4 linked regions of the Lepisosteus oculatus genome follow. The protein of the gene in region 4 purifies or fractionates together with the protein of the main gene of each other region. This does not show direct contact. Links are inferred from orthologs where the notes say so. Each region holds a gene or a part of one and is shown on either strand. Other genes may lie near its edges. The genes, in order: tfdp1b, lin54, rbl1 and lin37.

Region 1 (7,471 bases), on a different chromosome or scaffold from region 4:
AGCTCGAGCCTGCCATCACGAAACCCACAATCTTCGGCAGAGCCCAGGCGTGCGCTGGGGGTGCTACCCAGGCCACGAGCCTGCAAGAAGAGACTGCCAAACGCGGCCTGGCGTGTGGAGGGTTTAACGGCCGGCCGGTGCTCCACGCGACCGAAATCCTGGAGGGAAGTAATCGGGATTGGAAAAAAAAATGGCGAGGTCGTGTCAACGACTAGTAAGCCCTACCGAGAACGCACGCATGCGGGCCGGCTCTGTACAGACCCAGGACGCTCTGCTTCGACGTTTCAGGGTACAGAGAACCTCCAGAGAGTGAGGATGAGGAATGAGCTCTCTCTCTCTCCCACCCCACCCGATGGCAGAAGGTCCTGCCGTCTCAACAGCAGAGCACAGAGCCCAGGCCTCTTGGCCACAGAGCCGAGGCGCAGCCCGCCCCTGCCAGTGTCCTCCCCACCCCCTCACTCACATCCTTCGCCATGATACCGAGTCCTGGGAGAAGGGATGCGCTGGCGTCTCGGGAGGGAGAGAAAACGGCTCAGGGTGTTCTGCGAAGGCCTGCCTGCAAGAGAGAGAAGTCAGCCCGGTTTTAACCCGCCTGCGTGGGGGGTTGGGGGTGGGTGGGGCGCCGTTTCGGACTCGGACCGGGCTCCGGCCCTCCTGCAGGCTTTACCTTTCGAGCTCCCCGCGAGAGGTGTTCATTTAGTTCAGCTGGAAAAGGAAGGGAAAAAAAAAAAACATCAAAGCTCAGGGTGTCTCTTGGCCTTGTCAGGACCCCCTCCAGAAAGGTACTGGGCGCCTAATAAAAACACCAGACACTGAGAGCCCCCCCCACCACCCCTGAGCTCAACAGCTGGGCCCCGAGAGACCCCCCTCTAGGCCAGACTGAACACCGTCAACACCACCCAACAGACACACTCTCTCCTTAACGACGACGAGGAGGAGGAGGAGGAGGCGGCTACAAAGCTGCCACCAAAGCGCCGGTGGTGCTCGCCGGGTGAAAGTGGTGTCCATTTTAACGCACAAGGGACACGAGTCCCCTGTCATTGACATGCAAGCCGTGTCCGGGTGTCAGCCTGACCGTTTGAATAACATTAGCGGCCCCCCCAACAAGCGCTAGGCCTCCGGTTGGTCTGTCCTAGCTGAGAGAGTATCGTTTTAAACGCGTGGGCACAGCACCCGAGAGCCTGCACCGTGCAGAAAAACGCGAACCCTTTCAGGAAGCACGATGTTCATTTTGTTTTGCCCTTTTTTTTTTTGCAAAGATACCCCCCCACCTCCGTCCCCAAAGAAGTTGAATCCCTTTCACCGAGCAGGCCGGCACTCCAGCATCTCCATTCCTTCGGGCACGGGCGTTGTGAACACAAAAAGGTGCACCGTCGGAAATAAACAAAACCCGTTTCTGGGCGAAATGGGAGCCCGCTTCCAGGCCGTGAACACACTGGGCTGGATCGTGCCGGCTTGTCCCAACTTCAGAAAAACAGGCGACGTGAGGCCTACGCGTTTCTGGAAACTGGAGAGTCCGGACTAATCCGGCCACTGTTGCAACCTGCTTCGGCGATACAGTACGTGTCCCCTTGATGGGGGGGGGGGGGTGAGGACTTAAAACCTGCCCGAAAATCCTCCTATTGCACCTTCGGTAAAAAAAAAAGTATTTACGCGGAAACGCACGTCCTCTTTAAAAACCAAAAGGTGGTTACAGCAAAAATCTAAGACATCTGAACTTGCACGCCCCGATTGCTACAATGTGCCACCACACGCGAATTCATTTCGCCAGCTCATCGGAAAATAAAACGACCCCCCCCCCCCCCCCCCCCAAACCCACCAAAAACAAAAAGGCACCGACCACCTCCGATCAACTGCAACAAACTTACAACTGCCCCGGCGTCATTCAGCTGCACTCCGGCTCCTGCGCTGGCTGGCTGGCAGTGGGAGAGGAAGAGGTGGTCTGAACCCGTACACCCAACAGGAAACCCCAAACTGAAAAGAAAACACACACAAAAAAGGGCCAAGTCTGCCATTCTGTCAGAATTAACGCCACCCCGAGCTACACCGCCGACACGCAGGACTCAAAACGCAGCCCCTTGCGTGCTCTCGGAAAGCCCGTCCTCGACAAAATGGTCGCTTTGCCATCTTGGCCTCTCACGGCCGCCGCCGCCGCACGCTGCTCCGAGCCCCCGTCCCGGCTCCGGCATGTCACCCGGCAGCACAGCCGTGGGGGTCCCGGCGCCTGTCCTGGGGGCCGTCTCCCCCGGGTTCAAGCGTGCAGGGCAGGCACGGCGGCTAGTTCATCTCTGTCCCGATCGCCCGTCTCATCTCAGACCACGGCTATAACTCGTGCTTGGGGAGGCAGAGAGCCGGGGTCGCCGCCGCAAAGGAAGCTAGAGGTTTGTGTTTACCTTGGAACGGGACGTCAAACCCAAAGCTACAACAACAACAACAACAAAAAAGCCCAGGTCGTTTCGCCCCTTCAGTAACCCAGCTGGGACCTGGATCACACCGACTTTCACTGCCGTTAGAACCAAGAGGATTGAGGGGAGGTGGTGGTGGGGAATAAAAGACCTTTGGCTACACCAAGCCGGGACTGCAGCCCTCGTCACGCAGGGGGCCACGGCGAAGCCAGCATCGCCCACGTCCCCGCTCGCATGCGTGCAATCCTGGCGTAAGGATTCAACTTTCGCGGACCCCTCCGGCGCTCGCCTGCAATGTCGCCTCAGCCATCTGTGTCAAAACTACTCCCTCGCGTAAAACGAAACGCTCTGCTCTGCGCTGGATGGGGGGGGGTGGTTACTGGTCCGTCCGCCACTTACTTGCTCAAAACCCGAGGCTCATAACCCTGCCCCGGCGTGGCGTGGCGCGGCGCGGGAGATTCCACCCACGGAATGTTTTTTTTTTTTTTTTTATCCCGTGCGCTCCGGTGTTTTCTTAGAACCTGTCAGCGCCAGGTTCCCAACTCGAGCCTGCCTCTTCCAGCGCGCTGTGCTCCTTGCTCTCCGGCCGACAAAACTGATCTTGGCGGTGTCCACAAAACGAGCGCGCCCATTGGGCACGCACGGGGCGACGTCATCGCGCCGGCGGGAGGAGGCGGGGGGGGGGCGGGTGGGGAGGCCACGCCTCCCCCTCTCGCAATGGCTGGCGGTAAAGCCGTCGCTCTGGTGGAGGCACCTGGCGCGGGGGGTTATGGGATAGAGGGGGAGCTGGGAGTGGAGAGGTGGCTGGTGGGATCGGATTGGCTTTTGTTTTTTTGGGTTTCGATGTGTAAAAAAAATGTATCCGATTTCCATAGTAAATGTTACAGTAGCCCGAGGTGTCCAAGGATAACATACCCGTTCAAAACACTAGGAATGTTTGTAAATTACATCTGAGAGTTAAATTAAATAACCTAAACAGAGCTGGATAGTCCGGAAATAATATGATAGGAAATTATTCAACAATGAGAAGTGGTGTAATTAAGTTCTCTATAAGATGGCATAATACTGTAACTATTGTTATTTATTAAAATGAAGCCTTGAGCTAAAGCAACCGGGCAGTTTTTCCTAAAGTAATCCCAGTGATTAACTGGAATATTAACAAGGAATGCTGGCAGGGAAACAGCATTCTCTGTCGGTCATTAATAAAGTAATCTACATCATGGAATAAAATAAGATACATTCCACTTTGTACTTTCACAGCTTTGTGGTTTAGCACTTTAACAAATCACAATGATACTTCACATTTATTCCAATGTTATGTTATTTTATTATTATTTTTATTTATCCACTAATCCTTCCCAGCACTTTACACATTGATATGCGTGGAATGAAAAAAGTCACATTACATTAGATGGACAACAAAATAAATTCACATAGTCTGGATCGTTGAACACCATTTTCTAAACCAATAAAAAATAAAGATTCCTAAAACGCTTGTGCTTGAAATCTGATTCATCCGAATAAAATAATCACTGCTACCACTTTGTTTTTAAAAAAAGTTATATTTCATTTCTGAATAAAGTTATTTAAACATTCCCCTTACAAAAATATTAGTGTTATGGTCACAGGATGTGATGCACTATATAGACTGGAACAACACCTGACACCTTAATTTAACTTCATAAAACTTTTGTACCTTCTTTAAACTCACAAGTGCAATCTATTGAGGAGCATGAACGCTCTAGGTCCCGAATGGGTCCCTTTATTGTAATCACACAATTCTTCCCAAGCTGACTGCCAAAGCACTGCAAAGCAAAGCATCATCAGTGCCTCCGGTATGCATTCAAAGCAAGAGCAGCCATGCTCATCTGCATCCCAGCAGAAAGCCATGTAAACACTTAGCAGCAAAGCGCTTTACATTTACAGGACGTAAAAGAGAATTGGCAAAAAGGCAACCGTTGGTAACAAAACCCATTTCAAATTTACTGTTACACATTTCTGTGTTTTAGAAAAACAAAAGCCACAGTAAGTGTTTAAAAGGGTTTCTTTGGTTGTGCTTAGAATGAGAAGGATGACTATCATGGATGCCTTATTACCTGCGCCGCACTGGACTAACGCAGAAAGTCCAGATTTTGTAACGGATACTTAAAGCATCTGGAAAACACACACAAACCTTTTAGACATAAGCAAGCGGAAAACTGGTCAATTGGCCAGTTTTACTTCATACTGAGCACAGGCCAGAAAACCCATGTCAAAGAATTAAGAACCCCCTTACAGTATGCTGATGAAGTTTAAGGACTAAGAAGTACGTAGGTGCAAGCATATTAAAGGTACCGTGACATCCATGCAGTGTATGGCGAGGTAACACAAGGGAGATGTGGAATGTATTGTAAGGCACTTATTTTACATTTTTTCTGAAACTGAAGGATTCAGACCGTAAGGGCTCAGACAACACAAAAAGGTTTAGACAGATAACTTCAATCAAAGACAGCCTTGGAACAGCGCAGACCATGTCTTTAATCCAATAATTTATGCCATTCATAATTTGGAAAGGGTCCACTCTTTTGAAAATAGAATAAAATAAATATTACTCTAAAACAAGCATTCGGTAAAAGAAGCGTGCAATTTTGATCGAAGATCTATTGTTTTTCTTCCTAATTTAGCTGTTGTCTTTTGATCTAATGGAAGATAGAGGACATCAAACCAATTAACGGTTTAAACCTAAATTAAACTGCCTGATTTGCAGCCTGAATTAAGGAATTCTGACAGTATTAAAAAAAATAAAGTTTAATGTGAAATTGCTGCTACGATGCTTTTTAAAAAGAGTAGGTCTTGAACCTGAGCAATCTTTCAAGACAAATTATTTCAAAACAGTGTCATCAGCAGGATTGGAATGTCAGTAATGTAACCAACATTAGCAACTGATTTGGCCTGCATGCTCTGTGGCTACGATTAGGAATTTCAAGAACTATTTTTCATGCCAGCAGGTATAAGGCATGACATACAAAAATATAGACCTTTGCACTGACACAACCCTACAAATCACAAACATTGTAAGCCCCAAATTAGCTCTCCTATACTGGTTCAAATAATGTTTCACATTAAAAACATCCTACAGGAAGCACCTGCTCAGACAAGTTAGGTCAAACATAATAAGCAAGCTATATCAGAGCTCTAAAAGTGCCAATATTTACATACAAGCTGGTGCATCCTGCCTTCTGCTTTTGTTCAACCAGCTGAAGGCCCTCCATGTGTGAACATGGACATATCATGCATGACAGACAACAATGGATCTTCAGTCCACGTTGTGACAGATGTTTCTTCTTTAGCAAGTGGCCCCTCTTCATTGCTCCCGAGTTCCTTTACAGCCTTATTATATTTCTCTACAGTTTTCTTTTCTTTTCAAAATTACAGACTTTTCTAGGTGAAGCAGGGAACGTCAAACACTTGTAGGTCAAAATAATTTAAAGACAGACCAAATAAGAGCAAATTATATGTACACATATTCCCGACTGTTCAGGACACAGTGTTTATATTAAATCAGTTTTGAACTGACAAGACTTTTTGTTAAAAAGTCATGCTTTACCCAGGATGATCACTCCCAGAAACCACAAATGTTTCGCCTTGGACATTGTACAAAAATACTAAATCGAAATTACTGATCCAAACTCTCTCATCACGCTGTTTTTCACACTCAAGTGACCGCTCCTTTGGCCAAGGCAGTCAAAACTGCAGGGTCTCCCGCTTATACATTCAGGACGTTAAGTGTCTGATGAAATACAGCGTCGTGTTGTCACGGCGACCGGCCCAACCCAATGAAAACGATGATTGGGAAACGGAATTCTAGCCGGACCCGGCACCGGCCCCAGATCCGAAGCGGCGGGGAGGAGAGGCGCCACAGTCAGGTGCTCGTCCAGCGCTCCGCTCTGGGGACACACTTCAGCGTAGCGGCTTTCCACAGCACGGGCGCCAGCAGCAGGCTCAGGGTGGTCACGCTCAGAATGAGGAGGTACACCTGCAGCACGCAAGAGCGCCGTCACAGAACGCAAGGAAGGCAAAAACAAAGCACCACCTTCCCGCCTCTTTCAAGCTCTCCTCCCTCTCCGTGCGTCAGCCACCAGAGTACCTTCTACAGTGGGCTTAGCCATTACCTGGAACTCCAGGGTTTTCTGAAAAGAATGCAAACCAACACTGCTGGCAGGGCCTGCCCGGTTTCTGTAAAATATCCTTTAGGCAGGGCTGATACGGGCGACAGACCTATTTGCATAAGACAATAAATGTGTATGCAGTGTATGTTGCAGTATACCGTCCCCCTTTTCAGAATTAGTCAAATCAGTTTGCCTGATCGGCGCCCTGTGTTTTGTTTGCATTCCCTTTTCTGTTTTGTGCAGTTATCGGTGCTTCTGTTGTTGGTCACGCCCTGGTGAGCAAAATATTAAAAACAGGACTTGGGCACATAAAGAGGTTAATTTTGTAATGCTCCGACACGGAACATTTTTTTAAAAAATATGCAACCCATTGATACTGGCAAAGAGCACTCCCTTACATCACAATTAGAAAAACAAATAATAAAGATGCATGAATAAAAAGAATCACTTAAGTGCTTTTATCTCCTTTAATCACTATTGCAGTACCCAGTGCCGTTCATTTCGAATAAAGGCTTCTATCTCCACTTGTCTAGATACCAGGACCAGCAATGTAACACAAAGGAAGGAAGTTGCAAGAGGCATAGCACATTATGCAACATCATAGGATGCCTTTTCGAATGTTGATCATTTTTTTGTTGTAAATATCTGCACTTCTAAAATAGCCCTTATTGCACGGGCTTCCTCTCTCCGTCAGCTGCAGGCTTTCTAGCTACATGATAACATGTCATGGCCGATAAAAGCAAAGCACATGACAGGAAAAAGAATCCCTTCTGCTCCAAAGCTCAAAACACACATTTTTGATGAAAATTGTGCATCATAAATTCATATGGTTAAATATGTCAATTACAAATCACAAATACATAAAGTGCTGTTACACTGAGCATTAGGATGACTGGCCTTTGGAGTGGCGACTGACAG
Region 2 (7,817 bases), on a different chromosome or scaffold from region 4:
AATCTGGTTTCCTGCCTTACCTGTTTCTGTTCCGTTTTTTTGTGCAGTACTTACTACTCTTAGACCAAGAGTCAAATCCAAACTTTAATTTTACTGCAATCGGAAAACGATACATGTTGCTTGATGAGTAACGACCACGCCGTACTAAATGGGCCTAATCTGTAACGTTTCTTATGCTCCAATGAAGCGGTTTGCCAAAGGGCACCTTGTTCCAGCTCAAAGGAAAACCACCATTACGTTTTGCAGACTTCAGGATGGGCTGGTGGTTCAAATTTTGATTTACTCCAGCCCCTTTTCTCCACTCAGGCTGCAGAGGGAGGTGGGTTATTTTAACCAAAAGTAACTTCCTTAGTGAATCTCCTTTTTTACAAAAAAAAAACATTGGTACAACACGTTTTTTGTTGTATATTTTGCTCACATTCAAATATTATTGTTCCTAGCCAAATCCAGTTAACTTCCTTCTCTTGTGCTATCTTTTCACTCCAAATCTTAATCATATGAACGAAGACCTTTCGAAAAAAGTTAATTTTGTGCAGTTACTGCACAGGCAGTATTTTTACTGATGGAATAAATCCGTTTCAGGGAACCTTTCGCCAAAGAGAAGAATTCATCAATGCAAGCTTCCCATTTCTGCGGAAGAGACCTGTCTTAAGTAGGTGTGCAAGCGACGAGTCCAGCTGACAAGACGGCAAGAAAGCGATTGTGTTTCACTCCTGAAGAGTGACAGGCGCTTTAGGAAAGTCACTCTTAAACCTAGCGCCAGAACAGACCAACTAACTCTACAATTATTTTATGCTACGTAGGCTTTAATCGCCAATACTTATCAAGGGGTCTCGGAATTACACAAGAGATCGTCTTGCTCTACGGGATACAGATAACACCCATTGCTAGAAAAGGACAGTCATCTTGTCGCAAAAGCTATACAAACAAAGAGGAAGAGACTGGTTTTATTCGGAAAAATGTCATCGTAATTAAGGGTTTTCAGCCAGAGATCTTTAAAAAACACCGGTCTCCTAAACACTGCAACGATCAACTTCAAGCCGCACAGAAAAATAATAAGAGCCTTGTCTACCTGTATTATTAATGAAGCTGGAGAGAAAACGAACTTCTGCTGTGCTGGCCAAAAGGGTCACATTCACACTTAGCTGACAACTGCTAAACGCGAGACGTATGCCTGGGCAGCCTAAAATAAAACTTTTTCAAAAAACATCTAACAAATGAACCGTCCAGAGAGACAGCAGCTAGGCCTTTGAAGATCAAAAAATAATCTTTGTCCTACCTCAACAATCCGCCAAATTAATACCGGCGGGTCTAAATAAAAAAGGAGACGCAGACTCGCTCTTCATTTTTTACACTTCCCGGAAGGCAGTTTGTTTAAACGAACGATTCCTTGGCTTCTCGCTCTGTGTTAAAAATCTGACTTGACAGTTTGCCTGCTGTGAATGTTATGATGTTTCTATTTCAGGCCGGGATTGGATTTCGAAAGATCCGCCATTTTCACCTCGTCATCAGTGCAACTTCACAGGAAAGAACCAACATCGCCAGCCCCACGAAAACAAGACGAAACGAAAATAAAAGGCAGAGAAGGGGAAGGGGGGGACGCCCCCAGATCCCGGTTCAAGAGAAGCAAACTAAGTGCTCCGTAAACAGCACGTAGCTGTGCATTTCCTGGATGATACGAAATAATGTAAAGTTCACAACTTAAAAACTCCACAGGCTTCTCCTGAACAGGAAGATCAACAAAAACACGCAGAGCCGCACCGCAGAGCCCAGTCCCCGCACGCGAGAGCAGCCTGGGCTTTCTGCTCATTTTAAAGCAAAACGTTGTTGAAAATAGGCTGGCAAACACACAGTTATATATCAAACGAGCTGCAATATATTTCGGTTCAGATGACTTTCAAATAAAGTTTGCAATAACAGTGCCTCGTATTATAGTGGTTATACAATTCAATCACAGAACGCGAAATTCCTAAATATAACAAAAGTTCCAGTTCAGACAAAACAGCGTTGTTTAAAACCAATACATGCATGACAAGAAGTAGTCATCTAAAAGCTATGTTTAAAAACCTGTTACAAAATTATGGTTTGATCACTTCAGTGATGTGATTTTGTAGGAAGTACAAAAGGGATCGTTGGAACTAAAACTGTCAAAAGGTATATAAAGTTATATAATACAAGATTAAAAGCGGTTAGGAGACAGATCTGCATAGATCAAATAAAACCGTATTCCTACATCGGCGTCCAATACGTCCTGAATTTACCACTAAGCTGTCAATCGTTGAGGATGACAATCTGTAACAACTGAGGAAAATGGATACCTACCCCTTGTTCGTGAACAAATCCCTTGATTCAGCGATTTTCTACAGGTTCTTTAAAATAAAACGCATTCCAGGGTGAAAACGCGTGTACATGGGACACAGGAGTCACAAGAAACGCAAAATCAGACGGATTATTGTACTACCAAATAAATGAGGGTTGTAGGTGACCTATGGGCTTGGCTGTCATCGACATCTCTTTAGCGCTTCTCTCGCACTCTCTCCTGGGTCCGGGGGCAGGTGTTGTTTAGTGAAAATAATCAGGAAAAAGACCTATGTAGCTAAGAATAAACAACGATGACCGATTTCATGGACTTCACGACGAGCATCCGTTCCGATCTGACAGCCTAAGTGGAGACATTTTGTCAGGCCAGGACGTTCTCTTGTTGCGGAGACACGAAATCGGGCTCCGTGCCTGGATGCTATTTACAATAGTCAGTGGAAGCTGGTGCTTATAATGCCTCAGCCGTCCCTCTCGGTTTGGGATGTGTTTGCTTGCCCCGAGCAAGTCTTACTGGAGATCCCCGATGCGCTCCGTGTCCAGCTGTGATTGCTGTCGGCGCCTTCTTGTATCTTTTCAACACAACCCCAGCCGAGCCCGGCTTTGCGCTGCTGCATCCAGACCGCCGACACACGGAGACGTTTGTTCAAAATCACGCGCCGAGCGCCATTCCACCTCCACCATCCCATAATACTGCCGCGCCCTCCTTGGAAACCACGCATTGCGTCTTTCGTCACTGCACGCACGACGTGCAGACACCCCCCTCCCATCCCCACTCCCTTCTTCTTTCGTCATTCCCACTTTTTAATATTAAAAAGTGCACTGCAGCTAAAATTTAAGAAGTTTGATATTATGCTATACTTTACAAGATTAAATATAAAAAGTGTATAATTAATCTGTTATCACTACTGACTGGGTATCACATCTACAAATCAAAGTGGTACAATGAAACTCTGATTTAATGCAGATAATGTGGAAATGCAGTGTTATTTAAACTCAATCAAAACAATTAAAAATAGCAAGGCAAAAAGTATAACCGATTTATGTAAAAATGTTAACTTATTTAGCAACATAGTTCTGTGTTTTTCGTTTACTTTTTAGATATTGTTTCTCCTTTGCATTAATGTTCAATAAAACATTAGTTTTTTTAATAAAACATTTTTGTTAAAAACACCAGTTAAAAATGTGCACTGCTGGTGAACTAACATCATGTAAAAATAAAGGACAAAGTTCAAAATGTCCATCTTTTTAAATAAAGTTCTAAAATTTCAGGACGTAATACATAATTAAACAGCATGTTTTTATGTTAACCGAATTAGTAGGCCCATTTGTTATTGTATTTTTTAAACAGCTATTTAAGTATATATATATACAAACAAACAACATTTTTGAACACATAATTTCATTTCAGCGTATTCGAAAACTTTTTGATTACTTGGCTTTTATTTTGGAGTAGTATTTTGCAGGTCTTTGGATGCGCGCCATAATGACGACACGTGTCTTGCGCGGTTAAGTGACGTAGCCGCAAGAGCGAGTTTGGTCTCCTGGTTGTGTTTTGACAGATTCGGCGCCTTCTTCGTCCGCTTGGAGGACCGAGGCGTTGCAATCCGGCAGCCGTTAGGTTTGTTTCTGGTTGGAAAGAATACTCCCTCTTGCAGCCTCTGCAGAAAAGAGTCGTTGTTGGTGTTTCGGGGCGAGAAGATGGCGGCGGCTGTCCGACAGGAATTGGCTCAGCTCATGAACTCCAGCGGATCTCACAAAGATCTTGCTGGAAAGTAAGTAAAACAAAATTTAAAAACTGAAAGAGCACATCTTTTCAGAGAAGAGGACGGTATCCTAGGCCTCCCATTAACTCCAGCATTTTGAGTAAAGCGGTTCTGGGTACCGGCTAGTGATGTGACAATCGCAGTGTCATGAATGAGTGGGGTTTTCACCTAGATGTTTTTTTTTGGTAAAACCATTTTAGATGTATAAATTGAATCGGAAGTTACAAGGTTAAGCTTTTTGTTGATAAGAGTTATATACTTAATAATAATATTATGTATATAATGGTTCTTTCGTGATATAATTTACGGTGCGTAAACATTATTTAAAATTGCTTTTGAATGAGGAGACCTTAGACTGATCAGCTCCTTGAAGACGCCGTGAATAAGTTATATTTCAACGTCCGATAGTTAACCGGCTTGAGCAATATTCAAGATTTGTGGATAGATACATTTCTACACTGCGAATAATTTACCAAAATCATGTATTTTAGGCCCGATAGTTAGGTTTATTGATGAAGTGGCGCTATGAAATACAATTAGATGCTAACAGGGTTAACAAAATTGCAAAACACATGAAAATGATTCATCATCCAACTGTTTTTACTTCCATAACAAAGACCAACTGATTGTGCACAAACATGCCTCGAGAGCATGAGGAATTTTTAGTTTGCTTTATATTAAAAGCATTGCCAGCTATATTCTTGGAGACTTCCTATCCAGAAGGCTTTATATAACATGTTGATCTTCAATTTTTTCAAACACTTAGAATTATTATCAATTCTAGGATATTATACAGTATTAAATAAATAAATAATTTGGAACTGCAAATGTCAGCACTACCTTAATTGAGCTTTTAATTGACTTTCTTACTTGATCAGTAACATGCAAGTGTTCCCTTATGTTGTGCCTAATTAGGTTTACTGGATTGAGGCTCCTGGATTGGAGACGAGTATATAACATTGTCCAGTTGCTTTCCTTTTGTTAGGCAAGTCTATTCTGATCTTGTTTTTAAAAATAGCATTTGGATAAAGTCATAATGTTTTAGTGCAATGGGAGTTATTCAGCCTGCTGTTTAATTTCACGAATGAGTGAATCCCATTTTATCCCCTGGGTATGTAGACAGATACATATGGAATAGTTTGTCTTGGCTGTAACAATGTTCCTCAAGTGAACGGTTGACTGAAAAATGTGAGTATTTCCTTTAATGTAGCTGGAAAATGTTCAGACTTTTATTGAAGCTTTTATTGAAACGTTTGTTTGATTTATATTTTACATATTTTGTCTCTGATTAGGTGTTTACTTTTTTAATGTCAAAACTTCTTAGGAAAAGATGGTGTGAATTGTGTCCTGGAGCAAACACTGCAGTGATCGCAATTATGCTCTGGAAGTACCTGTGGAATAAGTTTTGCCACACCAGTGCTACTGACTTACAAACAATTTCTTATTACAGGTACCGACAGATACTTGAAAAGGCCATTCAATTTACTGGTGCTGAGCAGCTGGAGGCTTTGAAGGCATTTGTTGAAGCCAGTAAGTACTGCTGCAGAATTTGCTTTTGTCGTCCCATTCAGTTAGGAATGTGTGAAGTGGGGTTTATATTGCTTTGAAATATTAGAAGCTGAACTTAAGCTATGTGTGTGTTAAAGGGGAGCTGCAATGCTATTTTTATATTTCGGGGTTAGAAGGAATCAGCATTGAAGAGTGCATTTCAAACCACAATTAAAGAAAAATGAACACAGTAGCTTGTAAAACCTCTAATTTACATCACAAAATAGCCACAAGTTAATCCAATAGAAATATTGCTCTCGATTTAGACTGTTTTGCCAACAAATGCTGCTTAACTCTGCATGCATATCACGTTGGAACATTCCTGTTGTGAAATGTCTGCTGCACAACCTGTACTTATTTGTGTATTCATCACATTACATGAGCAGGAAGGGCTGCATCACATCGCAGTTTGTGTTTGCGACAACATGGCGACTTGCATTACTTTCACAAAGTTCAGGATTTTGTGCTTCATTTGAAATTTGTAATTTTTTCTGTAACGTCAATGAATTTATTTTGTTATGAAGATTTAATAACCCGGTCTGAGAAACTGGGACTGTATTTCTTCTTAAAATACAGTTTTGTGTAAATTTCTCCGTCCAGATTATAGCAAAAGTACAGGAAAGCCATTTGTTGTTATCTTTCAAGCAGCTTTTTTTTTCTTTTGTTCTTGTAAGAGGTGGATCTAAGTAGTCTTTGATCTGAAATGGTCATTTTGGGTTTTAAAAAAAAATAATAGTCCCTTCTCGTGCAATGTAACACGTCAGCACTTCTTGTGCTGAGTGAAATGTTCGTGTCGGTAGGGTATGTGTCACTGTACCGGGTCTTCTCTCTCTTCCCCAGTGGTTAATGAGAATGTCAGCTTGGTGATCTCCAGGCAGCTGCTTACAGATTTCTGCACTCACCTCCCCAACCTCCCAGACAGCACAGCTAAGGAGGTGTACCACTTCACGCTAGACAAAATCCAGCCTAGGGTCATCTCCTTTGAAGAGCAGGTGGGTGCATATCTCTTCTTAAAAATTTCTGGCACCATATGTGGGCACTGCCTTCGCCCTACTGTCTATGGTAGCTACAGGTCCCCTGTTATACTATTGAGGTGCTCTGGTGTTGTGACATTGACGTTCAACCTTCTCTTTTAATTCTTGGAAAGGGTACATCTTTTATTAAGTTGCAAAAGGAATTAAACAACATGCTTTCTTCACAAATCTATTAATCCACCCATTTGTTGTCAGTTGTTTATCCTTGCTGAGGTTGTAGCAACAGGGAGCCTGTCCTGGATTGTAGGGTACCAGATGAAAATACACGGGTCACCAGCGCAGGGGACTTACACAAGAACAATTTAGAGACGCTCGTTGGCTTAGCCAGCATGGCTTTGGAAGGAGGGAGGAAACGTGCACCCAGAGAAAGCCTAACTGGAAGTGAGAGAAGCATGCCAACTCCACCCAAAGGATCTCCCAGTCAGGAATCGAACCCTGGAGGAGATAAGAGCTGTGAGGCAGCAGTGCTACCTTCCTCACCACTGTCGTGGCCTTAAATACTATAATACATGTCTTAAAAAGTTGTAGTTGAACTCAGTATACCTGAGAAGTCTGTCTTTTGGTCTCTTGCCAAACCATAGTGAAGGTGCTGGCTCAAATTTCAATGGCTAAGTAGTGTTCTCACATTGATTGTCTTAACTTTTTAATCACGTATCCGATCTGTGCATGAATGTGATGTTATGCAAAATCCGATTATGCTGCTGTATTTATTGATTTGTTTGAGTGGTGGAACTATTTCTCTTTCATAGTGAGTCTGTTCTCCAGACTCACCTCTTGCAGCAAGTGCTTTTTACACTTCTTGTTACTCACATGATACGATGAATACATGCAAGCGACAGCCGAGGTTTTGGTCTTAAAGTGATGAACGGCAGACCATAGAAACCCATTTCTAAGGTCTAAGTCTATTCCTTCTTTGATTTAATGTGTTGATAGGTGGCATCTATCCGGCAACACCTGGCAACAATTTACGAGAAAGAAGAGGACTGGAGGAATGCTGCTCAAGTCCTAGTTGGAATTCCTTTGGAGACGGGACAGAAGTAAGTGGGGTCTTCAGTTACTTTACTGAGTTCTGCTGTGCCGGACTGGTGAAATGATCACTACTCTTTTTGTCTGTTTCCCAGGCAGTACAATGTAGATTACAAGCTAGACACAT
Region 3 (7,380 bases), on a different chromosome or scaffold from region 4:
AACAACATCAGTCCCACCTTGGTGGAGTATTAGAAGAGAGGAACTGGCCATTCTGAAGTAAACAGCAACACTACCCCACGCTCCAGCTGCTGCAGGGATGGCGGCTCCAAGGCCGCGCGGGGACAGAGAGGGGGTCGTACCTGTGCTTCCTGCTTCGGGCCGGCCGAGGCGGCTCCCCCTGAGGATCCTGAAACATGTCCACAAATATTGGCTCGAACTTCTTGAAGATCACGGTCGAGACCTCGAAGTTTCTCTCCAGGCGTGCTATCCTCTCCCGGAACTCCCGGGACAAACTGGACATGTCCGCCCACTTCTTCATCTTACTGAAGAACTGTATTAAGCTGGGGTCCGGGCGAGAGACAAGAAACGGGGAGACAGAAAACAGAGCAGGTTATGTCGGGGAATTCAACTGCAGAGACACATGTTAGAACAGCTTTTCTAGACCACATGAATAAAAAAACAAACATTCTTAGTTGGTCTTTTCTGAGAGGGAGTCTTTATTATCCCCGAGGGGGCAATTTGTTTTACAGCAGCAGTGCTGGCGTTCAGATGGGCGGAAAAGGGTAACGGTTAAGGTTAATCCGGTGACCTGGGGAGAGTGGGGGCTCACCTGAGCTTGGAGGACCTCAGGATCCTGGTCAGGGAGACACAGTTGCCCTCCATGACCCCCTTGCCCACTGTGGGGGTCCAGCCCTTCCTGCAGGCGGCGTAGAGAGAGCAGGCGAGCCAGTGTGCCACTTCACCCTGCAGGATGAGCAGAATATTATTATATTATCTTATTTCCCATAAATACAATAGGATTCTTATCCACACTATTCTCTCAGGACATTCGCAGCACAGCAGATACCACACAATGTACACAATACATTACAAAACATAGTGACAGAATGTACAGACAATAAACAAAACAATAAATACATGGTATAACCTAATAACAACAATCCTTAGGACGAGCATCACAGACCAGAACCTCCAGAGCAGCTACACACAGGATAAACAGGAAACCCCCCTCTCCCCCGTCACAGAGCTCCTGGATTTGTCTTTCCTTCCATGCGTGAATGGGTGTGGGCTTCATATCACAGATGGGAGGGTACAGCCATCGTCAGCTTGCGTTTCAAGAATGTCTATTCCAGCCTGGTCAGATTTTTCTTTGGGGGGAGGGAGACTGCTCCGAGTTTAAAAAGATGCTGAACACCTACCGACTCCCCAACAAGCATCACTGTTACCAAGAAGAAATACGAGTAGCTGGCTGCATCAGCATGCGCAGGCGGAGCAGTGGCTCTGTGGCTCAGGATCTGCGCCTGTGGCTGGAGAGCTGCCGGTTGAAATCCCGTGGCCGGCAGAGGAATCCTACTCCGTTGGGCCCCTGAGCAAGGTCCTTAACCCCAGCTGCACCAGGGCGCTGTACAATGGCTGACCCTGCGCTCTGACCCCAAGCTTCTCTCCCTGTCCGTGTGTCTCATGGAGAGCAACTTGGTGTATGCGAAAAGACAAATTTATTCCAGGCTAAAATGTATTTCTTATGAAGAAATTGTGTATGGCTAATGAGGTGATCTCCTATCTTCTCCTAGGCTGCAAAGGAACAGGTAAAGGTTTATTCCCTGCTGAAAAAGAGGTGCCCCATGAAGGAGGCTCCGCAGAGAAAACGCTGCTTTCCTTTTCAGCCTGGAAATCACCTTTACCTGCGCCTCTGAGATAATAAATACTTCGCGCTTCGAGACCTCGAACTGAAAATGCGCACAGCCTGCCACTACGAACACAAGCAAGAGCAACACACAACACACAACAACACACGCCGTCCCCCCCCTGCGCCGCGCCGGCCAATGGCGCCCCGGCAGCCCCGTGTCTCCCACACACGCCCCTCGCTTCCCTTTAAAGCCCCGACCAGCCCCTGTCCTCGGTTCGGAAATCACATCGGAACTCCGACATGTTCCCCCTGACGCTGCCGGCACACAACAGACCGGGCTGGGCCAGCGATGTCAGCCGGGACCCCCACGTAAACAAACACAGAGTCGCCGGGCGGGCACAGTCCTGCTCCTCCGCTGCGCACAGGAGAGGCGGAAGACAGGGGGGTGCGGGGAAACAGACCCGTTTCGGGGGGACAGACGGGGGTGTGTTGTTTACAGACTGCGCGACCCTGGCGGTGCAGCTCAGCTGCCGAAGTTCATTCCGCCGGCTGCGCGCTAACAACGACCTCCGGGGGGAGGGGGGCGAGAGAGACACCAAAACACAAAACGACAATAAGACAGACAAACACACACACACACGGACACTGCCGAAGAGAGCTTCCCGGGCGCTTACTGCGTTTGGAATTAAAAAAATAAAACCCGTAAAGACGTCGCAGCGGCGGCGCATCCTGGGTCTGCCTCACCTCCAGGGTGTATGTGTCCCAGATGGCCGTGAAACTCTGGAGGGCTTCCTTGCCCGTCTGCTCGTCCATGTTCAGCTCCTGGCACAGCGCCTCCAGGGTCCGCCGGACGTGGCCCTCGTCCACTTTCCGGGGCTCGGACCCGGCCTCCGTGCCGACTTCGGGCATTTCTCCGCCGCCGGGTCTATTCGCCGAAAGCGCAGCCTGTTTACCTCAGCGCAGCCCCCCGCTCCGTCCCTCCGGCTCCAGGACCGCTATCCCACAATGCCGCGCGGCCCCAGTGGCGCGAAAATCCACCCCGTCCTCCACCGCCGCCGCTCAAACATGGCGGCCCCAGGATACACACTGTAGTCTACCGAAGTTTCTGTCTTTGTCTCTAATGTGGTGCTGTATCGGTCCTCCGTTAGATTAACAGTTTGGATAAAGGTATAGAGAAGTCGGTCAACTCTGAATTTGGTAATTAGGTTATTCCAATGTTTTAAAAGATTATTTTTGAACGATTTAAATCATTCATACCCGTAACCATATCATTATTTAACACTTGACTTCCATGCAAATATGTATTTTGTTGTTCCTGTCGGTTTTTTCTTCTGTACGTCAGTACACCAACACTGCTGCTGTAAAACAACTTGCCCCTTCCCCCGGGGATAATAAAGACTCAATTGTAAATGAGAGTATCTTATGGTGAGAACTGTGGTATTGACAGTGACAAATACTAAGACCCATGCTGTTGAATGTAACACCCTAGCTCCTCAAAGAATAGAGCTAAATGACACCCAATGACATCAAACTGCCAGTCAAACGAGGTGAATGCACTAGATAGTCTCCCCTCATTAAGATTTCTTGTGTCCTTATCAGGTATATTTCAATGCTTGCTGTCCAATTAGAAATCACTGAAAGAAAACTCTTGAACTTCACATTCACGTAATTTGGTTCAGCTTGCAGTCATTTTCTTTAATCTGCTTATGCTAGCAAAGTCAATAACAATAAAAGACTGTAAATTCATATTCCATTCTAGCTGTTCTGTTCAACTCTGCTCTGTTCTTACAGGTTATGTTCCCCTAACACAAAAGCAGAAGGCACACTTAAAGTGAAAGTTGAAAGTCATCTTTTATTGCACAATAAAAGATCACATACCATGTTTTGAGTTATGTGATTGGTCCACATGGGAATACAGGAGCTAGTTCAACAAAATAAAAACTAACGCCGTAAAAGCTGCAGAGGCAGATTTCAGATCTACACAGAACACACTCTGCTTCTGTAGCATACAATCCGGAATAGTCTTGGGTTCAGGGAGAAAAAAAAATTACACCCGGGTGGCTAACCACTGGCCATCACTGCATTAAAAGAAAACTACAATTCCAGTGCAGGTGGCTGTGGTCCAAAAAACCTTTAGCCCCATCTGAGCATCACACTGTCTGTTCATGCAATAAACTCCCAGAACTAAACACCGTACTAAACAGGGCTCTGTGAGGCACACTGTCTGAATTAAGCTGACAGTTTTGCTTGTTGACACAAAATGTGTGCTTGCAAGAAGACACACCAGCTCGTTTTAACTTTATGCTCTAGGCATGGCCAGTGATGTCAGGGTTTTATAATCATCCATTTTTTAACCACTTCTTCTAGTTCAGTGGTACGGGGGAGCAGGAGCCTATCCCAGCAAGCAACGGGCCTCCGGTAGGATGCACCCTGGATGGGGTGCCAATCCATCTCACGACAGACACAAACACAGACAAGCACACACTTGCACCCAGGGCCAGTTTTCCCAGAAGCCAATTAACCTACCGGTATTTTTTTAGGACTGTGGGAGGAAACCCACATGAACACAGGCCGAACATACAAACTCCACACAGACAGCACCCCCAGGTCTGGAATTGAACCCAGGGCCCCAGAGGTGAGAGACAGCAATGCTAACCACAGTGTCACAGTGCCACCCAATGGGACATTTACAAGGACAAATTCGGTAAAATACCAAAATGTTTCCTGACAATTAACCTTGAAGAGCCCTGTTTTAGAACAACAGATCGCACATTATTAGTTACTAAAGTATACCATCAGCCGAAGATGAGAGTCATAAATCTGTGATGATTGATAAACGATAGGGCTTTGTGTCAGAAGGAAACCTCTTTCCTTTCTGTTGGAGTAAATAAGTGATTTTAGTGTTGTAGGATTACATTACTAATTATACTATGTACTATTTAGTATTGTGCTCTAACTAGTACAGTACAGGTGCTGGGATACCAGTGCATAACTAATTACAAATGACAAAAACCTGACCTAAACAAAAATGAGAAATAAAAAAAATTCTGGATAAAAATAAGAACTTGCAGGTCAAGAATATAAATATGTTTTTTATTATAACTCCACTTTCAAATAGCTTGTTATTCACATTTATTTATTAATGGAAAACGACTCACATAGGAAATAAGTCTAACTGGAGGTGCTTTAATACAGTACACAGACACAGACGCTATGATTGACAGTCACAGACAGTGAGACACTCAGACAGCCTGGATATTCTTTGCCTAGTAATTCATTATTCAGTACAATAAAGTTTCATTTTTAATCTGCTGCAAACTATCCCTGCTTCCACTGGAGGCAAAAATAAGATTTTTTTTTTTAAGGAAAACTAACAGCGTCAGTGTCGAAAAGAGATTTGGATCCTGCAGGTTTTCCTTCTGAACCCCTTATAAGTTAGAATACAGGTATAAAAATGATACTGGTAAGAAAGAAGTGTACAATAAATACATCTGAAATACACACGACTCCAAAAACAATCTGACCTTTGGATAAATTAGCAAGACTGTAACAGAAAAAAAAATACAAACATGGTAAATAGCGACAAACGACAGAATGTAAACTGAATAAATACTAACAGTTTCTGTGACCTCGGCTGCCCTTAATTACTGCTCCAATGAAGAGATTCAAGTCTTTCTCCCAGCAAACGCAGGGAACAGGTCCTGTCTGTGAGCGGGTGATGATGGTCAGCTGCTGCTGGGCTTGTCCCACTGTCTTCGTGTTGCGACGCCGACGTGATAGCTGAGGGAACTGTTTCTTTTTTTCTGAGGAGAGTCCAAACGCTCCAGCCAGACTTGTGTCAGAGGGGCAGGAAACTAAAACTGCGCCACCCAGTTTAGTTGTATGCACACACCTTCTGTTGCCAAGCTCAACGGGGTTTTGAAAAGTATCATGACGGTGGTGAAGACACGCAAACGTGCCAAGTTACTCAGAATTAGTAACACCATGCTCAGGCAGTCTAACAGTTTTGGGAAGCACAAAAAAGGGATCGCTTAAAATCACTTTTCACCAACAAAAGAACATTCATGTGAACTTGCAGCAGAGATCTGTGAAATTCCTCAGATTTTTGTGCTTATGAGATCACTTGAGAAAATATTAAGAGCATCAGATTGGAACACCTGTCTTTGCATTATTATTATTATTATTATTATTATTATTATGTACTGTGCGTTTTGCTTTTTAAATCCAGAAGCAAAAAGGTTACCAAGAAAGCAAAAAAAGTATGCATACAACTAAAGGGAAATTTCAAGGAACTCAGGCCAGTGAGATTCTTAGACCAGGTTTCAGTTTTGATAAAATGAAGTTCTACACTAAGTACTTTTATATACATTTTCAAATATGGAAATGCACAGAAACATCCATAGGCATAACTCTAAATAAGGCATTTTGTACTTCCAATATAACTAAATAATAACAAAGGACGATAATGATAATGGTTTCTCATTATATTTGGTAACGTTTGGCAAAAGCAAAAACAAAAAACAAAATAAATAAGAAAATAGGAAAAAGCCACCAGCTGTTTCAAGGCAACATCAATGCTAGTTGTGAAAAGTGAGACTGATGACAGTGCGAACCTGCTGTGGATGAGGAAGAGGCACAGTTTCCAGGTGAGCTTCCACACTAGGAAAACCACAAAGAAAACCTCCAGATGCCAGTGAGCCTGCCACGCCCTGCTTCTCTGTGCAAAAACATGTAACATGTAACATAACACAGGAAAATCAACTGTTCTGTCAAAGTGGCTTAGCTGCAAACGGACTCAGAAGCTTTAAAAACGCAACAAATGAATACCAAATCCAGTAACATTCATCGCCTTTCTAAACGCCTCTCAGTATAAAATAAAGAGAGATGCCAAACACTAGTATATCAACGAGGTGTGAAGTTACTGAGAGGTAAAACTATGAAGTGGAAAGGACAGTACTACAAGCATGGAGACAACTGGTCCTGATTGTGTCAAACACAGTATAATGAATTAAACAAAATTACAAGGGCACCTTGTAAAAATAAAATATAGATTTTACATCATTTAAAAGTAATAGATTTATCAAATCTACCTTCATATGTAAAACAGGAGAAAGGACACCCTAAAACTTTACAATAAGCTAAACACTCTGCTGGTGCATTAGTCCTTTCGTGTTCAGTAGAAACTCCTCCACTGCACTGGACACAAGGGGAAACTTCCCACCTGTTCCTTCAATCTTTACTCAGCTCGTCCACTCCCTCACTCCTGCAGCAGCGCAGCACTGACGCTCATCATCTCCCTCACTCCTGCAGCAGCGCAGCACTGACGCTCATCATCTCCCTCACTCCTGCAGCAGCGCAGCACTGACGCTCATCATCTCCCTCACTCCTGCAGCAGCGCAGCACTGACGCTCATCATCTCCCTCACTCCTGCAGCAGCGCAGCACTGACGCTCATCATCTCCCTCACTCCTGCAGCAGCGCAGCACTGACGCTCATCATCTCCCTCACTCCTGCAGCAGCGCAGCACTGACGCTCATCATCTCCCTCACTCCTGCAGCAGCGCAGCACTGACGCTCATCATCTCCCTCACTCCTGCAGCAGCGCAGCACTGACGCTCATCATCTCCTTCACTCCTGCAGCAGCGCAGCACTGACGCTCATCATCTCCCTCACTCCTGCAGCAGCGCAGCACTGACGCTCATCATCTCCCTCACTCCTGCAGCAGCGCAGCACTGACGCTCATCTACTCCCTCAC
Region 4 (7,420 bases):
GCCTGCCTCACTGATCCAGGGAGGTCTTGCAGCTGTTTCACACCCCTGCCACGCTTTGTGTAAAGGGCTGTGACTGTCTCTGCCCCTCCCACCACCCCCCCACCTTGGCGGCTCACCTCTTCCTCCACCAGGCTGGGTGGGGGGCTGGGGGACCCCGCTCTCTCACGGACCGAGGGGTTGTTCCTCATCCAGGCGCGGCAGATGGGGTACAGTGGGGTGCTGCTGGTGAACTGGGCCAGGTCCACGCTGCGGTCGAACAGCTTGATGATGTAGGTGTCTGCCGGGGGGAGAGGGAGAGATGGAGAGAGAGGCCGGCAGTGGGACGTCCCAGGAGAGACGGGGAGAAACACAGGCGGAGACAGAGAGTGTGCGTGAAACAGTGGCCCCGTGGGGCAGAGAGACAGGCGAGACAAAGCCGAGGGCGGAGGCGGGGGTGACGAGGGAGGCGGAGCCAGAGGCGGGGGGTGACGAGGGAGGCGGGGCCAGAGGAAGGGGGTGACGAGGGAGGCGGGGCCAGAGGCAGGGGGTGACGAGGGAGGCGGGGTCACGGGGGGGAGAGGACAGAGGCGAAGGGGGCCGCTCTCACTGGGTTTGTGCTGGCTGCTCTCCGCCAGCCCGTCGTCCATCTCCTTCCTCTTCTTGCGGCGGTGCTGCGGGAGGCGCGAGGAGGGCCTGCGGGACGAGAGGCGCAGAGGCGTGAGCGAGGGGGTCCCGATGACATCATCACTACCGCCACCAGACCTCCCTCTGCAGCGCCCCGCCCGACGGCCCCCACTCCCCCCTGAGCGCAGGCGGCCCACCGCCACAGACTCACCGTTTCCCCGCGGAGGACGGAGACAGGTCCCTGCGGAGCAAAGCACAGCGGAGAACGAATTAGAGGAAATGTGCCGAACGTCTGGAATCTCACCACGGCACAGAAACGACTCCCCCGCGGCTCCCGAAGGGGCTGCCGAGCACCCAATCCCACAAATCCTACGGACAATAAACGCACCGAGATTCCTGTGCTGTTTCTGTCGGCTGCAGGGCATTCCAGAGATTCAGAGGGGAATGATTTAGGAATAAACAAAAGCCTGGAGCTCACTCCTCATCCAGAGTGACGTTACTCTCCAAATGACCGTGCGAAGCATTTTAAACCCTCCCCAGGGAAACAAACTCCTGTCTGACATCAAGAATGACAGATTATTATTCTTAGATTGTTGATTGTGTAGAAAAGAAAGAGAAGGGGATGTCTGCATGGTGCTCAGTGGCTGAAGCAACTTTAATTTTACTTCATGTTTAGTAACCACATGCTCATTAACTCAGATCAACTACCTACTTGCTCAGCGAGTCTGCTCCCATCTTCCCAGAGTCCTCCTCGTTCTGCTCCCTGCAAGACACAGAGTAAAACAGGCACCATTAGTATGCAGACTGGACCTGAACCACCGGACCGGTTGTCCTCCTGGTGTAACAGGACTGGACCTGAACCACTGGACCGGCTGTCCTCCTGGTGTCACCAGACCTGCTCGGAAGCAGCTGGGTACAGCCGTAGTCTTTAAGATGCTGATCTGGCACAAAGTCACGAACCTCTCGCTGTCACTCTTCTCCACCAGGCCCTGCAGGACCGCTTCCAGCCTGCTCCTGGCGCTGACCGCCTCCACATCTGCAAGAGGGGACAGAGGAGATCATTATTCCCTGAGAACAGTGGCTTCCGAATGGTGACCCGTAGTTCATATCTGTCCTGCAAGGGTCTGGCTCCTGGCCTGTACTACAGAGCCAATGACTACAGCGAGTAGCTTGCCGATGGGTTATCCCAAGTGCTTTGCCTTATTTTCACAGGCTACACTAATAATGCCTCTTTTCCGCTGGCACGCCTGAGCCGAGCCCCAGCCCAACGCCCGGCTTGTGTGTTTATTTACCGCGCAGTCTGAGAGGTTAATTTCTTCATGGCCACAAAGGCCAACAGATCAGACTCCCATCCACACAGAGCACGCCGATCTGCATTGGGGCTTATGGGCGACTGGCGCTGGAGGGTCAAACGGCACCAAAGAGGCAGGAAAGTGGACCGGGAACGACCCAGGCCACTGTGGCTGCGTTCCACGTCCCTCACCTGGCTTCTCAGTTTTGATCTTCATGGGCAGCATGGTGGATCGGCCCGAGAGGCTCGGAGGCCACAGCTCCTTCTCTCCTGGAACGCCGGGAAGAAGACAAGTCACTTTCAAGTAAAAAGAGAGCAAAGAGCAGACTTCTTTAAAAGGAGCAGCCCGAGGAACAACGGGGACCAACAGGTCAGAACCTGACTGAACCAGATCGGCTCCGGTTTCCCCGGGGTGGGGGACAGTACCGTGCCCCCCTCCAGGTCTAAAAACATCCCAAAACAGAGAGGGCGACGGGCGGGATCGCCGACATAACCCGATTAAACTTATCACGACTCGATCGGTTAACGAGCGCAATCAAAATCCTGACGGTTTCTGCAGACTTAACCGGAGAGCTACGTTATGGGGTACTCATTTAACGTAGACTTTAAGGCGTCATTTCCAACCCTAGCCAATAGGAGCGGCAGGGTAGTGCCCATTTTAAAGTTTTCAATGCAGAGGAGTTTCATATTATTGTGCACTGTATTCATTTACAGAAATGGTATGACAAAAAAGAAAGAGTCCTGCCGCACGTCTTCCTCCCTGACTAAGACAGTTAATTAATAGACCTGATCCCCTTTCATGGTAGCCGTGCAGATCGCAGCGACATCAAACCCGACCACGTAGGTACGGTTATAAAAAGCAAAGTGATCACATAGACTTTACACGTAGACGTCATTTAGGAAGCAAAACAATTTTCATTTCTGTGTATATCGCCAAGGCTGCATGTGCTATAACAGCAAAAACACCTCGGTAAGGAAACGGTGACAACTTAAAAAGACACCATCATTTTAAAATCAAATATTTTTGTTTACCCAGACAGTTTCCCAAAAGACGTTCCTCTTCCGCGCGCAACCCGATCACTCTTCAGCTATTGGTGGAAACCGAAGGCTGCCTCCCACTTTCATTGCTCAATCATCCTGTCACTCATCGAATTACGTCAATATGATTGGCTAATACGGGGAAAGCGCCTGTCTGTGCTCTAAAACTACATTTCCCAGAATATTAATCAAGCTCAAGATGAATCTTTTTCATTCATATGGAGCCTTAAAAACCATAATTGTGTTACATTAAAGGTGAATTCAGGGTTATTTTTGTTTCCATCTATAATCTAACTTATTTTCTATTTCTCAAAATAGTTTTTTAAAAAAAGCACCTAAATGCATTATGGGAAGCGTAGTTTTCACTGGCTGCATTGGGTGCGGTTGCCGGGCGACGAGCCGGAGCCTCCGGAAGCGCGCGCTGTTTGGTTACGGTTGGGGTGAAATGGAGACTCGAAGAGAGCGGAGGTAAATAACTTGCATCTTATTTTTTACAGCTGACAGCTATTACACGGTATCGCAGTTTGGAGATTAAGGTTCTTTACGTGTACACGAAGGCCTGTTGTAAAATTATTATTTGTCTCCCTTAAACACGGCGTTTTAAAACTCGTGACCGTCTTCGTTACGGATCACTTTTGACAGTCAAAACAACAATAATCGGTTATTATAGTGCTGAAACTTTCATAATACCACACAGTTGAGGGTTTTCAGAGTACAAGCAACAGAAAAGCTCAGTTGTACCTCCACTAAACTAACGCAAGACGCACTGGGTGTTTGTTTCTCATTTTAAGCGAATTCCGGTGACAGCACTGCGGCGATAGATCGGCACCAGGCGTGACGTCCTGGCGTCCAGCCTCCAGCCCCCAGCCGTGAGGTTGTTAGCAGGTGCCTGCGTGGCCGTGGGATCAGCGTGCGGGTCTGCGGGCCTCCTCCGGGCCCGGCCGGCTGCTGGCGCTCAGGAGCAGCGCGGAGGTCGGGGCAGGACAGGGAGAGAAGCCGCCGGCAGCGAGCACGTATCGAAGGAGACATGAAATCAAGGTGAGAAGCTGCCTCACAGCGCTGGGACCCCGGGGTGCTGTCTGTGTGGAGTCTGTATGTTCTCCCTGTGTTCAGGTGGGTTTCCTCCAGGTGCTCTGGTTTCATCCCACAGCTCAAAGACAGTTAATTGCCTTCTGGGAAACTGGCCCTGGCGTGTGTGTGTGGGGGGGGTGTGGGTGTGGGTGTGTGTGTGGTGTGTGGGTGGAGCCCGGTGCTGTATGACACTGACCTGTCCTGCTCTTCCTCTCCCCTCCACAGTGGTGCTGTGTTCTCCAGGCAGAACCCTTTCCCTCCCGATCCGCCCTTGTCCAAGACCCACTACAACCCCTCCCGTGCCAAGACGCTGCCCAGGCCGGAGAGGAGGACGGTGAGCACCGGGTGTGGGAGTTGAGCCGGTCCGCTCCAGCTCTCGCTGCCTGCTACAGGGCTTGTCTGAGTAAACCCGTTGCCGGAACTGGATGTCTGGAGTTTGGTTCAGGCCGTTTTGAATGGGATGGCAAGAGAGACAACCTGATCTGCTTTGGTTGCAGTATTAAAGGGAGCCTTGGTTTCTCCAAGTAATTATACTGAGGAAAGGGCTAATCTATAATAGCCCTCCAGATTTATAACCCTTGAGAGTAAGAGAGAAGATCTGTTGTTTTTTCTGTCTCCTCCCTCCATCCCTCCTTCCCTTCAGACTTATTCTAGCCTATTCCCCTGCCATCTCAGTTTCAATCTCTCGCGCTCTCTGCCCCCCACAGGCCCTCAGCCCCGTCCGTCTCTCCCGGCCCCCCAGTCCCCCCCCACCGCCGGACACGCTGAGCCCCGCAGACGAGCGATTCCTGCTGGCGGCTTCCAACCGCCTGCTCCCGGCCGGCCCCCCAGCCGCAGACCCCCAGCCCAGCTTCTCCGAGTCCTGGCCTTCCACGGACCTCGGCTCCCCCCAGGGGGCCGACTGCGCCCCCTCCCCCGGCGCCGACGCTCCTCCGCCTGCAGCCCCAGCAGGAAAGCCCCAGGCTTGGGCAGGACCTGTAGGCCCGAGGGAAGACTCTGTCTTGGCAAGGTGAGGTGTACGGTGGCCAGTGAGGGTTGTAAACAAGGGGAGGCCGTGGGACCCATCTGGCTCGATGGGTTTCTTAGCAGCTCAGAGGATCCAGTTATCTCATCCAGCTGTTTCCTGAATAATCCCGGGGAACTGTCTTCAAGCACACAGTTCGATACCTCCCACCACCACCATTGGTGTAAAAATAGGCTTTCTGGTTGAAGTCCTGGATGCACGCCCTGTTAGTTTCCACCTGTGTCCACGGTTTCTGGTCCACTGGGCCGAAATAGTCTTCTGGGTCGACTTCGTCAGCAGCCTTTCAGGATTTTTCAATAGGTCCTATGTGTAATCCCTTCCAACCAGGACTAAAACGGGAGTCCTGTTCCTTTCAGCTGTCTGTGTTGCCCTTCCGGAGCGTCTGGCTCTGATTCTGGGATGGGCCTCCTTGTGCCAGAGCTTCATGGTCTGTGGCTGTTCGTTCAGCCCAGCTCCCGGTAACTAATTGGATGGGCTTGACGAGCTGTGGGCTCTGACATCCGAGGCCCATCAGGCTCCGAGTCTGCAGTGCACTAGGCTCCCAGCGGACCTCGCTGACGCCCCTCTGCCCTGACCGCTCCGCGTCTCCTCCCCAGGTACGTCGAGCGCTTCCGGCGCGGGCGGCCGCAGAGCCGAGAGGAGCGCCGGCGCTCCGCAGCCTCAGAGGGAGAGGGGGCGCGGTTCTGGTGGCTGCCCGCCTCGCCGCCTTCCAGCTCCCCCTCTGCGCTGACGTCCGAGAAAGGTGCGCCCCGCTTTCCTCTCCCCTCTCCTGTGCTCTGCCGGCTCGGCGTTCCCGGGGCAGGGATCTTGGGGACTGATTCCTGGGACGGAGCGGAGGGCCGTGGCCTCACTCTGCGTCGCGCTGTCTTTGCAGGCTCCTCGACGGCCCGCCGGGCGGCGCGGTCCCTCTCTCCCTCTCCCCCCAGCCCCGCGGCGCGGTCCCGGCTCAGCCCCCCCGTCTCCCCGCCCAGAGCCGCGCTGGACCTCAGCCCCGCGGTGAGTCCGTCTCCCCGGTCTGCTCCCGCCCTCCTCTGCCCGGCCCAGCCTGACGCTGCGGCCGATTGCAGGAGGCTGGCCTGGGGGCTGAGGGCTGCGAGGTGTTTAATTTCAACCCATTGCCATTAAACAGTCTAGATCCAGCGCAGGGACTCGGGGGATTAAAGTTAAAGCAGGAGCCTCTCGCCACCAAGTGGGCACAGCTGCCACTGCAGGCAGACCTGCTCAAAACAAATTCCTTTTCTGGGCACTCCACTCACAGTGCTTTCTAGGAAACAGGGACCCCCTCCACCACCACCAGTGTGCAGCCCTCACTGCATGGTGAGTGCCCCCTACTGGCCCCACTAACACCTCTTCAAGCAGCAGCCTCGGCTTTCCCAGGAGTCTCCCCTCCAGGTACTGACCAGGCTCACACTGCTGAGCTCCAGTGGGCTGCCAGCTGGGAGCTGCAGGGTGATATAACTGCTGGAGTGAAATTATAGATTGAAGCTGTTTAACTCCTTTCCTAAGGAGAAACAGAATCACAGAATGTAACTTAATACAAAAAATATCAGACTGAATACTGTCCCCCCCATATCCTAACTTAAATTACGATCCCCAGGCAGGATGGTACTGGGGCTATATGCCCCATAACAGCTTTGAGAATTTTTTTTCCTGCTGCCCTGTCTTCATTGCTGAGCCAGTGTTGAGGGTGTGTGAGTACACTGCTGTCTCAGTGATGATGATGATGATGGTGTTGAAGGTGTGGGCCGTGTTCCCTGCCTGTGCTCCCCCAGGCTCTGTCGGACGGCTCCCCACGTGACCCCAGAGACCCGGAGATCCTGCGGCTCCAGGAGAGGGCCAGGCGGCTGGTGCAGAGGAGGTAGGGTGGCTTGGCAGCATCTTGGCACACGGGTCTTCCCTGACGCATCCCAGCGCAACTGCCTCTGGTCTCCGCTACAAACGCATGTCCCGTGTTCTCCTCTCCTGAGCTCGGGTTCGAGAGCCTCTCTCAAGCCCGCTGGGCTGACGTGCACCTGAGGAGTCTGAATCCTTGGACGGGTGGTAGTTTGTCCCACACCCCCCTGACGGCGGTTTCTCCTGTCCGATGTCCCGGCAGCGAGACCTCTCTCAGCAGCAGCTCCATCCCTGTGAGCTCTGAAGGCCTGGGCACCCTGGACTCGTCCTCCCGCTTCAGCATGGATGAGCCGGTCCGCAGGCCCACGGTTCCCAGTCTCCTCGACCCTACCACTGGTAGGTCTGGGGGAGGGGGGTGCAGTTTGAAGAATGGGATTTGGAGGTTCTGAAGGGTTGATGAGAAAGATGTGATTCTGTGTCCAAGCAGGTCCCTTCCATCATTGCTGGGAGTGAAACTGTGGATGTGTTGTGGATGTTGCCGGATCTGTGAATCACAGCTG

The links.
Region 1: the proteins of lin37 (region 4) and tfdp1b purify together in Homo sapiens (co-immunoprecipitation; 3 studies listed by BioGRID and IntAct, with this or other methods). This does not show direct contact. The link is inferred for Lepisosteus oculatus from reciprocal best matches to the Homo sapiens genes LIN37 and TFDP1.
Region 2: the proteins of lin37 (region 4) and lin54 purify together in Homo sapiens (affinity purification with mass spectrometry; 4 studies listed by BioGRID and IntAct, counting the BioPlex papers as one, with this or other methods). This does not show direct contact. The link is inferred for Lepisosteus oculatus from reciprocal best matches to the Homo sapiens genes LIN37 and LIN54.
Region 3: the proteins of lin37 (region 4) and rbl1 purify together in Homo sapiens (affinity purification with mass spectrometry; 3 studies listed by BioGRID and IntAct, with this or other methods). This does not show direct contact. The link is inferred for Lepisosteus oculatus from reciprocal best matches to the Homo sapiens genes LIN37 and RBL1.

The regions. Positions count from the first base shown.
Region 1 is NC_090710.1:28,862,680-28,870,150, reverse strand, and holds the start of tfdp1b (transcription factor Dp-1b), read right to left. Parts: upstream 3,010-7,471; 5' UTR 2,805-3,009; intron 2,759-2,804; exon of another isoform or gene 2,557-2,758; intron 2,551-2,556; exon of another isoform or gene 2,394-2,550; intron 1,975-2,393; exon of another isoform or gene 1,869-1,974; intron 706-1,868; exon of another isoform or gene 668-705; intron 557-667; 5' UTR 476-556; coding exon 464-475; intron 1-463. Other genes in the region: tmco3 (transmembrane and coiled-coil domain-containing protein 3), read right to left, coding at 6,307-6,420. UniProt on the Homo sapiens protein: Can stimulate E2F-dependent transcription.
Region 2 is NC_090698.1:27,535,350-27,543,166, forward strand, and holds the start of lin54 (protein lin-54 homolog), read right to left. Parts: upstream 3,015-7,817; 5' UTR 2,831-3,014; exon of another isoform or gene 2,323-2,830; intron 1,724-2,322; exon of another isoform or gene 1,502-1,723; intron 1,496-1,501; exon of another isoform or gene 1,280-1,495; intron 1,200-1,279; exon of another isoform or gene 1,073-1,199; intron 1-1,072. Other genes in the region: cops4 (COP9 signalosome complex subunit 4), read left to right, coding at 4,018-4,091, 5,533-5,612, 6,471-6,622, 7,598-7,701, 7,786-7,817. UniProt on the Homo sapiens protein: Component of the DREAM complex, a multiprotein complex that can both act as a transcription activator or repressor depending on the context. In G0 phase, the complex binds to more than 800 promoters and is required for repression of E2F target genes.
Region 3 is NC_090711.1:748,727-756,106, reverse strand, and holds the start of rbl1 (retinoblastoma-like protein 1), read right to left. Parts: upstream 3,004-7,380; 5' UTR 2,537-3,003; coding exon 2,372-2,536; intron 745-2,371; coding exon 611-744; intron 342-610; coding exon 141-341; intron 1-140. UniProt on the Homo sapiens protein: Key regulator of entry into cell division. Directly involved in heterochromatin formation by maintaining overall chromatin structure and, in particular, that of constitutive heterochromatin by stabilizing histone methylation.
Region 4 is NC_090722.1:10,937,192-10,944,611, forward strand, and holds the start of lin37 (protein lin-37 homolog), read right to left. Parts: upstream 3,013-7,420; 5' UTR 2,927-3,012; intron 2,165-2,926; 5' UTR 2,121-2,164; coding exon 2,087-2,120; intron 1,640-2,086; coding exon 1,564-1,639; intron 1,367-1,563; coding exon 1,316-1,366; intron 845-1,315; coding exon 815-844; intron 673-814; coding exon 587-672; intron 278-586; coding exon 117-277; intron 1-116. Other genes in the region: proser3 (proline and serine-rich protein 3), read left to right, coding at 3,960-3,970, 4,229-4,337, 4,711-5,012, 5,624-5,769, 5,902-6,023, 6,800-6,885, 7,123-7,256.